2 linked regions of the Coturnix japonica genome follow. The protein of the gene in region 1 binds, or shares a complex with, the protein of each later gene. Links are inferred from orthologs where the notes say so. Each region holds a gene or a part of one and is shown on either strand. Other genes may lie near its edges.

Region 1 (5,778 bases):
TTAGGCATCTTTTGGAGGAACTATTGCAGACTGAAAAGATTTGCCAGCTCTTAACATTCTGGTTTCTCTTTTAGTGTGATTTTATTCTCGTATCTGAGCATTGCTCCTTTTCCCTTTGAGAACACTTGCTTTGTTTCAGGAACAGACACGATGCTCCTTGAAGACTATAGCTCAGATGGCCCTTCTCTTCCACACTGTGTCTGTCCTCCTAGAAGAAGGAGTTCAGTGACATTTGAAGATGAAGTAGAGCAAATTAAAGGTGGGCTTAGGGGTAAGTATGAAAACGCTCAGAACAAAATACCTTCTTAGGAAGCCTCTCGGGACCTTTAGAATTGCCTGAGCCTGTATCATAGAATCACAGAATGGCCTGGGTTGAAAAGATTCATTGATCTAAATAGAATTGAGTTTTTTCTGTTTTTGTTCTTAACTTTCTTGACTGGGCACGTTTCTCAGTAGATATGGCTGGAAATGGATGAATCTGCAACTTTTTTTTCAGTCAGCTCATGTTGATCCTGCGGTAACAAAGTGTTACTGTGGGGACCTGTAAGTGTTGTGAGGTTAGCTTAAGGTAGGCTGATAGTTGTGGGAGTGTAAGCTAGAAGTCTTGGTCATGAATGACTGAATTTACTGAGTAATAAGTTATTGTGGTCAATGCACAAATGAACTGAGTACCTCAAAGCATCGAGTACTGATAAAACCTAGCTCACTTTTACAATTAGGAAATAATAAGAGCGCACATAGATCAGAATCATAGAATGGCTTGAGTTGGAAGGGACTTCAAACATCAGTTAGTTCCCTCCTGTTGTGGGCAGGGCTGCCACCCACCAGCTCAGGCTGCCCAGGTTCCCATCCAACCTGGCCTTGAACATCTCCAGGGATGGGGCACCACAGCTTCTCTGGGCAGCCTGTGTCAGCATCTCACCACCCTCTCAGTGAAAAATTTCCCTGATATGTAATCAAAATCTCCCATTTTTAAGTCTAAAACTGTTCCCCCTCATCAGATTCAGAAAAACATTCAACATGCACTTGATTGGAAATTAAACACACACGTATAAACACTTTGTTTCATCAGATTACATTTTTTTTGCCACCTGAATTGGAGGGAATCTTTCTCTACTTAACCTGTGTTTGAGCTGAAGCTTTGAGCTCACTGGATGGTTTGTAAATACTGGGTGTTCTTGGTAAATGCACGTTTACAAATGAGTTGATATTGAAGCTTTTGCACGGCCAGGCTGTCTGTTCTTATATACTGCTCTTTGTTTTTTCCCTTTCAGAAACCGCAAAGAATTCTGTTCTTCACGTAAAAGCCGATGTTCATAAATCTCTGGACAGCTACGCATCCAGTTTAGCGAGAGCTATTGAAGCTGATGTGAAAATCAGCTTGTTTGGGGAAGGTGCTTTACCAGGAGCTCTGTTTCCAGTACGGACTCTGCCGGGAAGCGGAATGAACACCCGGCGTGGCGTCAGGCCCCATGCCAGCCAAAGGCTTCAGCTTCAGAGCATCGATGAAGGGAACATTTGACAGAAGGAAAATAACTGAATGAAACCACTAAGCAGGACCTACCATGTGTGTTACTGTTTTAACAGAAACAGGATACCTCGCTGGGATGTTTTCAGTGTTTTTTGAGCACTTGAATGTCAGTTGAATTCTGGTACTTGCATCAGCATTTTGCAGCAGTATTTACTTATTGTTTAGGGTGCTATTGGACTCCTTTTTGCCACATCTTAAGCCTGTCATGCGGAGCATAGGAACACAGAGTTTGGTTTTGTCCATTGAATCACATTGTCTCGTTTTGGCCATAGCTGACACAGAATGAAAAGTATGTGCAGTGTTTAATAATTGTAGCGATCCTTTTCTGAACATTCAGATCATCCATTTGTACCTGATAGCTCAAGTGTTCTGATGAGAGCTTATACATTAGTTACTACGTGCAGCCTTACTGTCAAGATTCCCAAATAACAGCATGGATTTCACTAAGGGACAACAGTTGAGCTTTACAGGGAGCTCATATACATTATGATTCTTCTTACCCTTGCTAGCAGATATTTCTGGCCACATGTCAGACTGCTAGGTATGAAACCTAATTGCGTATTGCTTCTGCTTAATGAGACACCAGCTTCTCCATATGCAATGGGTGGAAGCAGGCCAGCATTGGAAGTATCACAGAAGTATTAGAGAAAGACAGCATTGCAGAGTTCTTAGTTTCTTTGAGAACCGCAACTCTCTTCCCTGCTTTTGCTTTGACTAAAAGACCACCCTACAGCTTCAGGAATCTTGACAGGACATAAATAAGTTATTACCACTTTAATAATATGTGCAGGATTCATCTTTTCTATAGAAGGAAATTCTATGGGTTATTTTTTAATGTAGAACTTCATAGTTACCTCAGTGCGTATATTTTTCATTAATCTCTAAAATAAGACCGTTTAGCACTTACATTGCACCTTGCACATTCTAAGCACTGTACGGAATGTACCTTGTTAGGCCTGTGTGAGAGGGCTCATCAGCCCTGCTTGCCAAAGAGGAATGCAGCAATGGTTGAGCCAGAAATGAAAGCAGCTGCAAGATGGAAAGGTTTGTTATGAAAAGAAGAATGAAATGGATCTTATGAGAATACCCAGCGTGAGGAACCTCCCTGTGCCTTCCTAGCCTGGACCTTTTCTTCCTTTATGGAAGTTACTGCCCTGCCTTAATGTTTATTTCAAGGAGATGGATCAGTAGATATCCATTTCTTGAGTCAGTTTCTTGTGTGTCAGTAGCAAATGGACTTATGGACCAAGGGCTGGATTTACTCTGTGTCTATTCTCCTGCTTAAACTTGCTCAAAGGCACAGGAACAAAAATAAGTTTTGAGGCAAAGCCTCAGGTCTGTACTGATTTTAGACATCCTTTTGGTCCATCTTCTCAACTCAGAAATACATTTCAGCACAAGCTTACATCTGTCTGTGGATAGAGCAGCCTATCTTTGAACTAGCCTCAGTCCATGACATTCCCACATAAGATTTAATTGCATGCTTAAAATTCAGTACATGGTTTGCTGATTAAGAACGGGCTCTTAAAACAAGAACGCTTAAGTACCGTAAGATGGCTCTTTGAATAATGCAGAATGAAACGAGCTGTGGACTGGATGGAAAGCTGATGTTCTGAGCAGCAATGGTGTGTACCAGCTTCACACTCCTGTATTTTTTTTCACTTTCTGTGTGTTAGGTATGTTGGCACTTTGGGGCACTTCAAAATCCAGATCCCACTGTTTGCCAGGAAATGCCATGCACTGAGGTTGTTATTGCTATCATTAATACTGCAATTGCAGTTGTTCGTACTGGTCAGTGCTCCTTAAGGTACGTGCTTCCCTCAGAGGGCTCAAAGTGTTCTGTCTGCATCCCTTTTTTTTCACATTCCTGCTTCCAAACAAGTTGAGCTCAAGTGTCTGTGAATGCAGAAAGGGCAAAGGTGGGTGAAGACCGTGCTAGGCCAAAACTAGAAGGGTATTTAGGAGCAAAAATTTTCATGTCATGTATGAATGCACAAAATCGCCTGTGTTTTGTAAAAAGGACATTTCTCACAATGACGCTGAGCCACATTCAGTCTTCAGGCTGTTCACACCAGCACTGAATTGGGCTCTCAGTGTTCATTTCACTAATCCATTATTTAGTATGACCGTTGTTAATATTTTTGCTAATGAAATTATAGCCTCTGCGTATTTCTGTTATCACCAGCATCACTTTGTCATAAGTTAACGCAGTAATGCACACAGTTTGTACGATTGTATCCCCCTGTCTTAAATACAGAAGGAAAAAGTTTCTAATGGTCCAAGATGTTTGTTTATAATTAATTTGTTTATAGTTGATTTTAAATTAAAGCTATTTAAAATGCTTTCATGTAAGAAGAAATATATTGAGCTTAGTGTATGAACTTGGCAACGCCCTCTGGTGAAGAACATATCCCTGTGTAGGAAGGCTGTGTGGCGAGCCCTAGGCTCTTGGAGACTCAGGAGGAACACGAAGCTTAACAGTAAGGCAGCTTTCTCAGCTGAGAGGCATAAATCGGGGCTTCCTTTCTTATTTAAAGACAAGGCGTGTTATTATGGACACACAAGCGAAAATCAGGCGGTTTTTCGAGAGCTGGAGAGCCTGAGGAGACCATAGGGGAGCCGGCAGTCCCGCCCCCTTGTCCGCGCCAGCCAATAGCAGCGCCGCTTCCTCCCGCCCTGTCGAAAAGATGAACTGAGCGAGGGGCGGAGAGAAGTCAGAGCGCCGAGCTGATTGGCTGTTCCGTCTCGTTTGGGCGGTCCATCAGCAGGCTCTCGTTGTGATTGGTCGGTTTGCAGGGAGGGGGCGGGGCTGTTGTGCGGCGATGGAGGCGGTTGTGTGCGCTGAGCACGGTGAGGGGCGGCATGGCAGGGAGAGGTTGGAGGGAGGTTGTCGTTGTCGTTGTGGTGTCTAATTCATCTCGCTCTCCGCCCTGCAGGCTCCCTCTGCCTTCTGAAGACCGGCACCCGCGATGGCCCCAACAAGGGGAAGAGCTTTTACGTGTGCGGGACGCAGGCCCCGGCGCCGTGCGGCTTCGTCGTGCCGGCTGAGTGCGTGTGGGGACCGCGGGGCTGAGTGAGCTGCAGGCCTTGGGGTGTTGGATACAGGGTAATTGGGTGTCGTGACAGGAGATCTGGGCTTTATTTTCATCGCTAAATGGTCTTTGAGAAGATTCTCCGAGTGTTTTGTCCCGAGTCAGTCTTGGGGCTGTCACTGTATCTTTGATGGATTGTGTTTATTCTTGTTTTCCTCGTTTCAGCGTTCCTCCTTCGTACTGTTTGGTCCATGAGGGGTGCATGGTGGAGCTGCAAATCCTGGTTGAGCAGCAGCTCAGAGATGAGTATCAGTAAGTTCCTCCATTTGGAAGCTGAGATTGGCTGTACACATGTGGATATCTGGAACTGTGTTGGGATGGCTGACCTGCACGTCCCTTCTACAGCTAAAACATGGCCTCTGCTCTTGAGGCCTTCGCTTAGTCTTTTCAAAATGCTCGGGTTTTTTATTAGTGAATGGGACCCTGGGCAGCCTGATCTGGCAGGTGGCAAACTAGCTTGTGGCTGGGGGTTGGAGCTTGATCTTTAAGGTCCCTTACAACCTAAGGCATTCTGTGATTCAAAACAATTCCCCCGTATCCTAAGGAAGTATATTCAGAGAATGATAATTGGGTAGCAAGCTTTGTTACCATCATTCATGAGTTTGGTTTGAAAGACTCAACGTGAGCCAGCAGTGCACTCTGGCAGCCCAGAAAGCAAATGGGATCCTGGGCTCCATCAGGAGAGGGGTGGTCAGCAGGGATAGGGAGGTGATTGTCCCTCTCTACTCTGCTCTTGTGAGGCCCCATCTGGAGTACTGTGTCCAGGTGTGGAGCCCTCAGTACAAAAAAGATATGGAGATTTTGGAAAGGGTCCAGAGGAGGGCCACGAAAATGATCAGGGGGCTGGAGCACCTCCCCTGTGAGGACAGGCTGAGGGAGTTGGGTTTGTTCAGCCTGGAGAAGAGAAGGTTGCGGGGTGACCTCATTGCAGCCTTTCAATACCTGAAGGGAACTTACTCCCAGGAGGGGAGTAAACTCTTCAAAAGGGCTGATAATAGCAGGACACGGAGAAATGCTTTTAAGTTGAAGGAGGGAAGATTTAGGTTGGATGTTAGGGGGAAGTTCTTCACTAGGAGAGTGGTTAGGCCCTGGAACAGGCTGCCCAGGGAGGTTGTGGATGCCCCGTCCTTGGAGGTGTTCAAGACCAGGTTGGAC
Region 2 (5,983 bases), on another chromosome or scaffold:
CTGGAGCAGCAGGGGTAAACAGAGAGCAGCTGCATAACCAGCGGCATCTTAGAGTTCAGTGCTTCTGTCCTTAAATGACATTGTCTTAAATTAGGGGAAAAATGAGCAACCATGGGTTAAAGACAGAGAGCTGCTTCATGTGTGGATATTCTGGATCACTCAGGATTATGCACTGCAAAATCCTGCTAAGAAAAATGAAAAGCTACCTTATTCGGGCAACTTGCTTACTATGGAAAATGTTCCTTTTAATAATTTACCCAAACTCTCAGTTTTTATGGGGTCTATGCTTGGTACAAAGAGATTCATGTGACAGTGACCAAGGATTTCTGAAACCCTTAGGGTTATAAAACTAGTGTCTGCCTAGCTCAGATTTGGGGAAAGTTTATCCTCTGCACTTCAAAATCGTTATCACACTCTCAGTGTTTCAGCTTAAATGGAAGTTGCACACACCTCATTATTACCTTTAATTCTGTAATCTAAGCTGCTGTTGATGGGAAAAGGAGGATGTAAGCTAGGTCTTTGCCAGACCGCCCAGCACCCAGAGCATCCTGAGGCTGGGGCAGCAGTGGTCCATGCGCTATGACCTCGGAACCCACCGATCCCCACTCAGCAGCACAGGCAGCACAGGATGGAGCAGCCGCCTGACCTCACACATGCTGAACAACAGCACGTGTGCATTTGTGAATTTGCATGTGTGTGTGTGTGTGTGTGAGACAGAGGGACAGGCTATGGAATGGGCTATCCCAGCTTGCCAAATCCCTCAAGTGGTGAAATATCTTACCATCCTCAGGTACAGTGTAATGCGCGTATTCAGGAAAGTAATCTTCAATTTTTGACTTCCCCGCCAAGACTTTTTCAGCCAGCATGTCCTGTTTATTCAAGAACAAAATGATAGAAATGGTCCGTAACCACCTGTCAAAAACAAACCAAATGTTTGGGTTATCTCCGACACATTTATCAAAGGGAACACATCAAACCAATGGAAAATGCACTGGTTGTCCCTGTGTGTGGTGTTTATTTAGAACTCGGTTAAGAGAAAAGAAAAAACGGAACTGGAACTATTATCTCCATGACTACCTGGGCTGATAGATGTATTTATAAGATCTGTGCATACATTTCTAAAATCTCCAGTAGATATCACTGAAATGAACAGCCTTACAACACAGCTTTCTAAACTTAATTTCTGTGTATTGGTATTATTTATTCGCCACTAGGAACAGATTCATATCACTATTTGTTTACACATCCATGCATCACTCTGGCCACTGTGGGTGCACCGCATGGCCTGGCCCTGCCTTGGGCATTTTCTGAATAGTCAGTCTGACCACGTGCTAAAAGAAATCCAAATCTATAGGGAGTGGGAATGTCGCTGAATTTGCAGTGGGAGAAGAAAAGAGGTGTACTTTACCTATTATTCCAGATACTTTTGAAAAGGTCCAGGGATTCCCGTAGTCTGTTTGTGTTATTGTCTTCCCTTATTACCATGTTGTAGCTGCTGCAAGCCACAACAAAGATTATAGCCGTGACATCTGGACAAGGCACACAGAAGAAAGAAGGGAGAGAGAAAGGAAGTTTCTGTTATCCCAGCACATACTCCTCATGGTAATATGGCCATTACTCCCCTATTGCCCCAAAGGCCTCAAGAAAATATTTATCAAATTGGACTTCCGTATTAGTGACACACTATGTTCTCAGCGTAAGTAAAAAAATACGAATGTTAAGCTGCTCACTCTGCACAAAGCAAATTCGTAATAAAGATGTGGAACATTTCTACTTACCGTTAAAGCATTGGATCCATTTTCTTCTCTCATCTCTTTGGCCACCTACATCAAACATGCTGTTAAAAAGCCATAGGATGTTATGTCACTCATGTGCATTAGGAAAGTCACATGAAGCATGCATGCAGCACAAGGGTTCAGTTTATGAATCTGGCAGCTTTGAGAATAGTGGCAGTAAAATAACTGCCTGTAGGGAAGAGAGGTTTGCGGCTGCCGTGCTGCATGCCAGAGCACTGCCCCATTCCACCTGCCCTGCTTCCCCTGGGAGAATCATGGAATCATTTGAGTTGGAAGGGACCTTTAAAGGTCGTCTAGTTCAACTCCCCTGCATTGAACAGTGACACCTACAGCAGATCAGGCTGCTCAGAGCCTCATCCAGCCTGACCTTGGGATGTCTCCAGGGATGTGGCATCCACCACCTCTCTGGGCAACCTGTTCCACTGCCATACCAGCCTTACTGTAAAATACAGTAAAATCTAAACCTGGGATCATTACTGTGGCCCTCCTCTCAATGCACTCCAACATGTCCATATCTCTCTACTGTACTGAGGACTCCACATCTGAACACAATACTGCAGGTAAGGTCTCACCAGCACAGAGCAGAGGGGCAGGATCACCTCCCCTGACCTGCTGGCCATGCAGCGCAGTATACAGTTGTATTTCTGCACTGAAAGGGCACACTGCTAGCTCATATCCAACTTCCTATTCACGACACCTAAGTCCTTTTTGGCAGGGCTGTGGTCTACCCTTTTGTCGCCCAGCTTGTACTGACAGTGGGGTGCAAGAATACCACCAAATCCATATAGTGAGAAAAGCACTGGCCTTTGTCATGTAGAGAAATTCACATGGTATAGACAGTTGGGGCTACTGTACTATGAACAAGCAGAGGTTTCATCATCTTTGAAGTGTGGTAGAGAGAGTACATGCATTCAAGGAGAGGGACACAAAGGCAGCTTGTCCCCCATCAGCACTGACACCTTGTTGGATGAGAACCAGTGTGGAGGTAGCCTGGCAGTACCTCAACAGAGATACTGCGCAACACAGAGCTTGCAGCTCTCCAGACAGAGAAGAAAGAAGGATATACTGAACTCTGTCCCAGTGTTCAAACTGTGTCTTGTGGAATGACACCATGTTCTGCGAGATCTCACCCCAAAAGTATGAGTTGGCAGTGCTATCTAAATGAATGAATTAGTAAAAATGGCCCCACAGCAGAGCAGCGCTAATACGTGACTAGTACCACCTTTTATTTTTTCAGTGAAGTATAAGGGAATTTTACTGGGATCCAGGGAAACAGCTAAAAAACCCCAACTAAACCAAACAACCCTGATATTCACCCTATGCCTGATTACACCAGGAAGACATGAAAACAGACATCTGAGTTGTTAAGATTAGTAAAACACTCATAAACCATTACAAAGAGACTTACTGGAAATTTACTTTGTCTACTTGAAACCTTGTTTCAAAAATCCCTGATGTCAAAACTCTGCATCGTAATAGGTCCTGAAAATGAGAACATGGAAGCTGATTAGTTTCTTTTTTATTCTAATTTTATTTCTAAATGTACGCTATAGTATTTTCCATGAAAAGGTACGTTCCATTTAATTAGAGCTCCATCAGACTTGCTGGTATACCTCTATGTGTCCATTCTCACACAGTAGATATACAAACATCATATTTGAATCTAGCTTGTGAATACCATATGCACGCTCTTTTTAGTGCACACTGGTATCTATTATTGGCACACAATTTTATATGTGACGTGGATAATGAATTCTGAAGTTACATAAAACTAAGAAAATACGTTGCCTTGTTGTAAAGTCAAGTACTCAGCTGTAAGAAAACTCCAGATTTACAGTTGCCCAGGCAACATTAATTCTGCACTCCTTTGTACTGAATGAGACAGGAATCCTATCGAAATAATAGCTTGTGACTAAGTAATTAAAGCTCTATTACAGTGCACAAGGGAACAGAATCTAGGTTGCAGGTAAATCTGGCATTCCTTTCTTATTTTTCATGCTAGCAGTACTTTATAACTTAAATGGCATTTTCTAATAATTAACAAACAATGATTTCCTAGGTTCTCAAAGGAGGCAGGCAGAAGCAATTTATGGTGCACATCTCAAGTAACCGGCTCACTCTGTGCCATCACCATCACCAGCAGTTTTTTAACCTTGACTACCCAGTACTGCTGCTGGAGGAGAAGTTTTCTGCCTGTCAAATACCAAAGTCCTCTTCTGATCTTTGGAGACAAAGGACATTTCTTCCCAAAGAAAACATCAAGAAAAATTTTGAGACAGCTGAATAATGAAGCCACTGCCAAATCCTCCTATGATGAATGACTGCTCAAGGTAGAGAAAGACCCTGCAAGAACAAACAGGGCAACACTACAATAAATAACAAAAGGAAAAACAAGGCTTTGCTTTGATGACGTCTCCCTTCAGCAGAGTGATACTGATGCTAACGTCAAGGTCTACATGGAGTAAATCTTAACGCAACCACTTTTGTTTGAAAAAGTATGGAAGGCTTTAATAATTTATCCTGTATCAGGTCGACTACAAGAAGCCCTAAGGCCTGCTGCTGGTGCTCCCCCTGAATTTGGACACTGGACACCTCTCCTTCTTGGCTTCCATCACTTCCATCACTGAAATACAATACAGGTACTGCATGGCGAAGGCTAGTGATGGAAACTGTAGGCTTCTACATTTATGTTTTCCGTTTGCTTTGTTTGTGGGACACAGAATGGAAAGCAAGGAGAAATAACAGATGTATTACAGGAATCACGACCTACATATAGCAACAGTAAAACACAAGCCTACAACACTGAAAAGCTTCTTCTTCTTTAACATCTATTATTTAAACAGCTAGACTGCATTTTGTAATTATGTGGTTTGCTGCATTTCAGCTGCTGTTTGGACTAAACCAAATTACACAAAGAATCTGTATAAATGGGTGTCTTGGTTCAGCCCTTATCACATTAATTACACTAACCTGATCTGTGGGTGTGTAGTCATCCATGCTGACGCTGTCGATTCTTTCTAAAAAGCTGGAAGAAAAATAAACATGCATTTAGATACGTAAAATCCTGTCTAGTACAGCACATTTTCAGTACCTTTTCTGGTTTAGATTTCAGCTGCAAAGTAATGCATCAGTGAAACGTTAAATGTATGAACCCAGAGCTTTACTTATGTTGCTTGTGGTTCTAATTTCTGAGCCAAATAGCTTTTCACCCAGGCACTGCTTCAACATAGTGCTTTTACACTTATTGTTAGGTAGTACTCACAGACAGTCCAAATGCAGTACAGTGTCACAATTTGGGAGGTCCACTCAGAAAATACTACATCCATCTGATGTTTCCCCTGAATACAACTACAGCTTAACAACTTGAAAACAAAACTGCATGATGTGGAGGTTAAGTAGTCTGGCTCCTCACAACACTCAGTCCAAAACTCAGTAAAACGCATATGCTGAACTAGAAAAAGAAAGGGTACCACATTCTCCAATGATTTTAAAGATCTTTTCAAGCTTTAATTCTTTCCTACGACATGTTAGAACAGCAATAACGAGGATATAAAAATGGGATTTTATATGCAGAGCTAAAATAGGCAGGTTCTCCTCCCTCACTTTCACCCATTTCTTACATTCTGTGTGAGCCCAGATGGCTCATTTTCCCTGACTGCCTGCATGACTTAGAACCTTTCTTGAATTTCAGCATTGTTGTTTGGCAGTGAATATCCCACTGACTGACTCATCCTTCTACAGTATTATCACAATTTCTTTATCAACTGGCAAGTGTGGTTTTTTTTTTTAATTTTTATTTATTTATTTATTTATTTTAAATTTTTTTTTACTATGGTGTGCATGTGGAATTTATTTAATTGCAGTGGGAAAGAAGGAAACAACAGTGAACTCTTGCCTGGCAATGTGACTCACTGCTAACACCAGGGTCACACACACACAGACCAGTTGAAAACATACCTCTCTAAAAGCCTGACTGTATTTCTCAAAGAACTTTCCCACGGATATGAACTGAAAGGAAAAGAAAATATGCCACATATACACTTACTTATACTTTTTACTTACATCTTTATAGCAAGCTACGGTCACTGTGATGAGTGCCTGCACTCAGGCAAAACCTTCTGCTCAACTGTTATCACTGCCTTGAGAACACCAAGCAAGTCTCAAACTCACAGCACACAATTAGATGA

Evidence for each region. Proteins that work in one complex are often made in the same cells at the same time.
Region 2: the proteins of GPR161 (region 1) and GNAL are in contact, whole or in part, in a cryo-EM structure (PDB 8KH4), measured with the Homo sapiens proteins. The link is inferred for Coturnix japonica from reciprocal best matches to the Homo sapiens genes GPR161 and GNAL. Residues at the interface, in NP_001254539.1 of Homo sapiens: Arg125, Ala128, Val129, Leu130, Pro132, Met133, Tyr135, Pro136, Met137, Ile139, Ile211, Val214, Ala215, Lys218, Ala219, Lys267, Ala268, Thr271, Trp327, Asn328, Lys329, Arg332; in NP_001135811.1 of Homo sapiens: Ala41, His43, Lys203, Val204, Phe206, Phe363, Cys366, Arg367, Asp368, Ile370, Gln371, Arg372, His374, Leu375, Gln377, Tyr378, Glu379, Leu380, Leu381.

Annotation. Positions count from the first base shown.
Region 1 is NC_029516.1:75,373,045-75,378,822, forward strand, and holds the end of GPR161 (G-protein coupled receptor 161), read left to right. Parts: intron 1-139; coding exon 140-271; intron 272-1,274; coding exon 1,275-1,522; 3' UTR 1,523-3,813; downstream 3,814-5,778. UniProt on the Homo sapiens protein: Key negative regulator of Shh signaling, which promotes the processing of GLI3 into GLI3R during neural tube development.
Region 2 is NC_029517.1:87,710,036-87,716,018, forward strand, and holds part of GNAL (guanine nucleotide-binding protein G(olf) subunit alpha), read right to left. Parts: intron 4,822-5,983; coding exon 4,767-4,821; intron 3,279-4,766; coding exon 3,205-3,278; intron 1,838-3,204; coding exon 1,779-1,837; intron 1,530-1,778; coding exon 1,409-1,529; intron 913-1,408; coding exon 782-912; intron 1-781. UniProt on the Homo sapiens protein: Guanine nucleotide-binding protein (G protein) involved as transducer in olfactory signal transduction controlled by G protein-coupled receptors (GPCRs).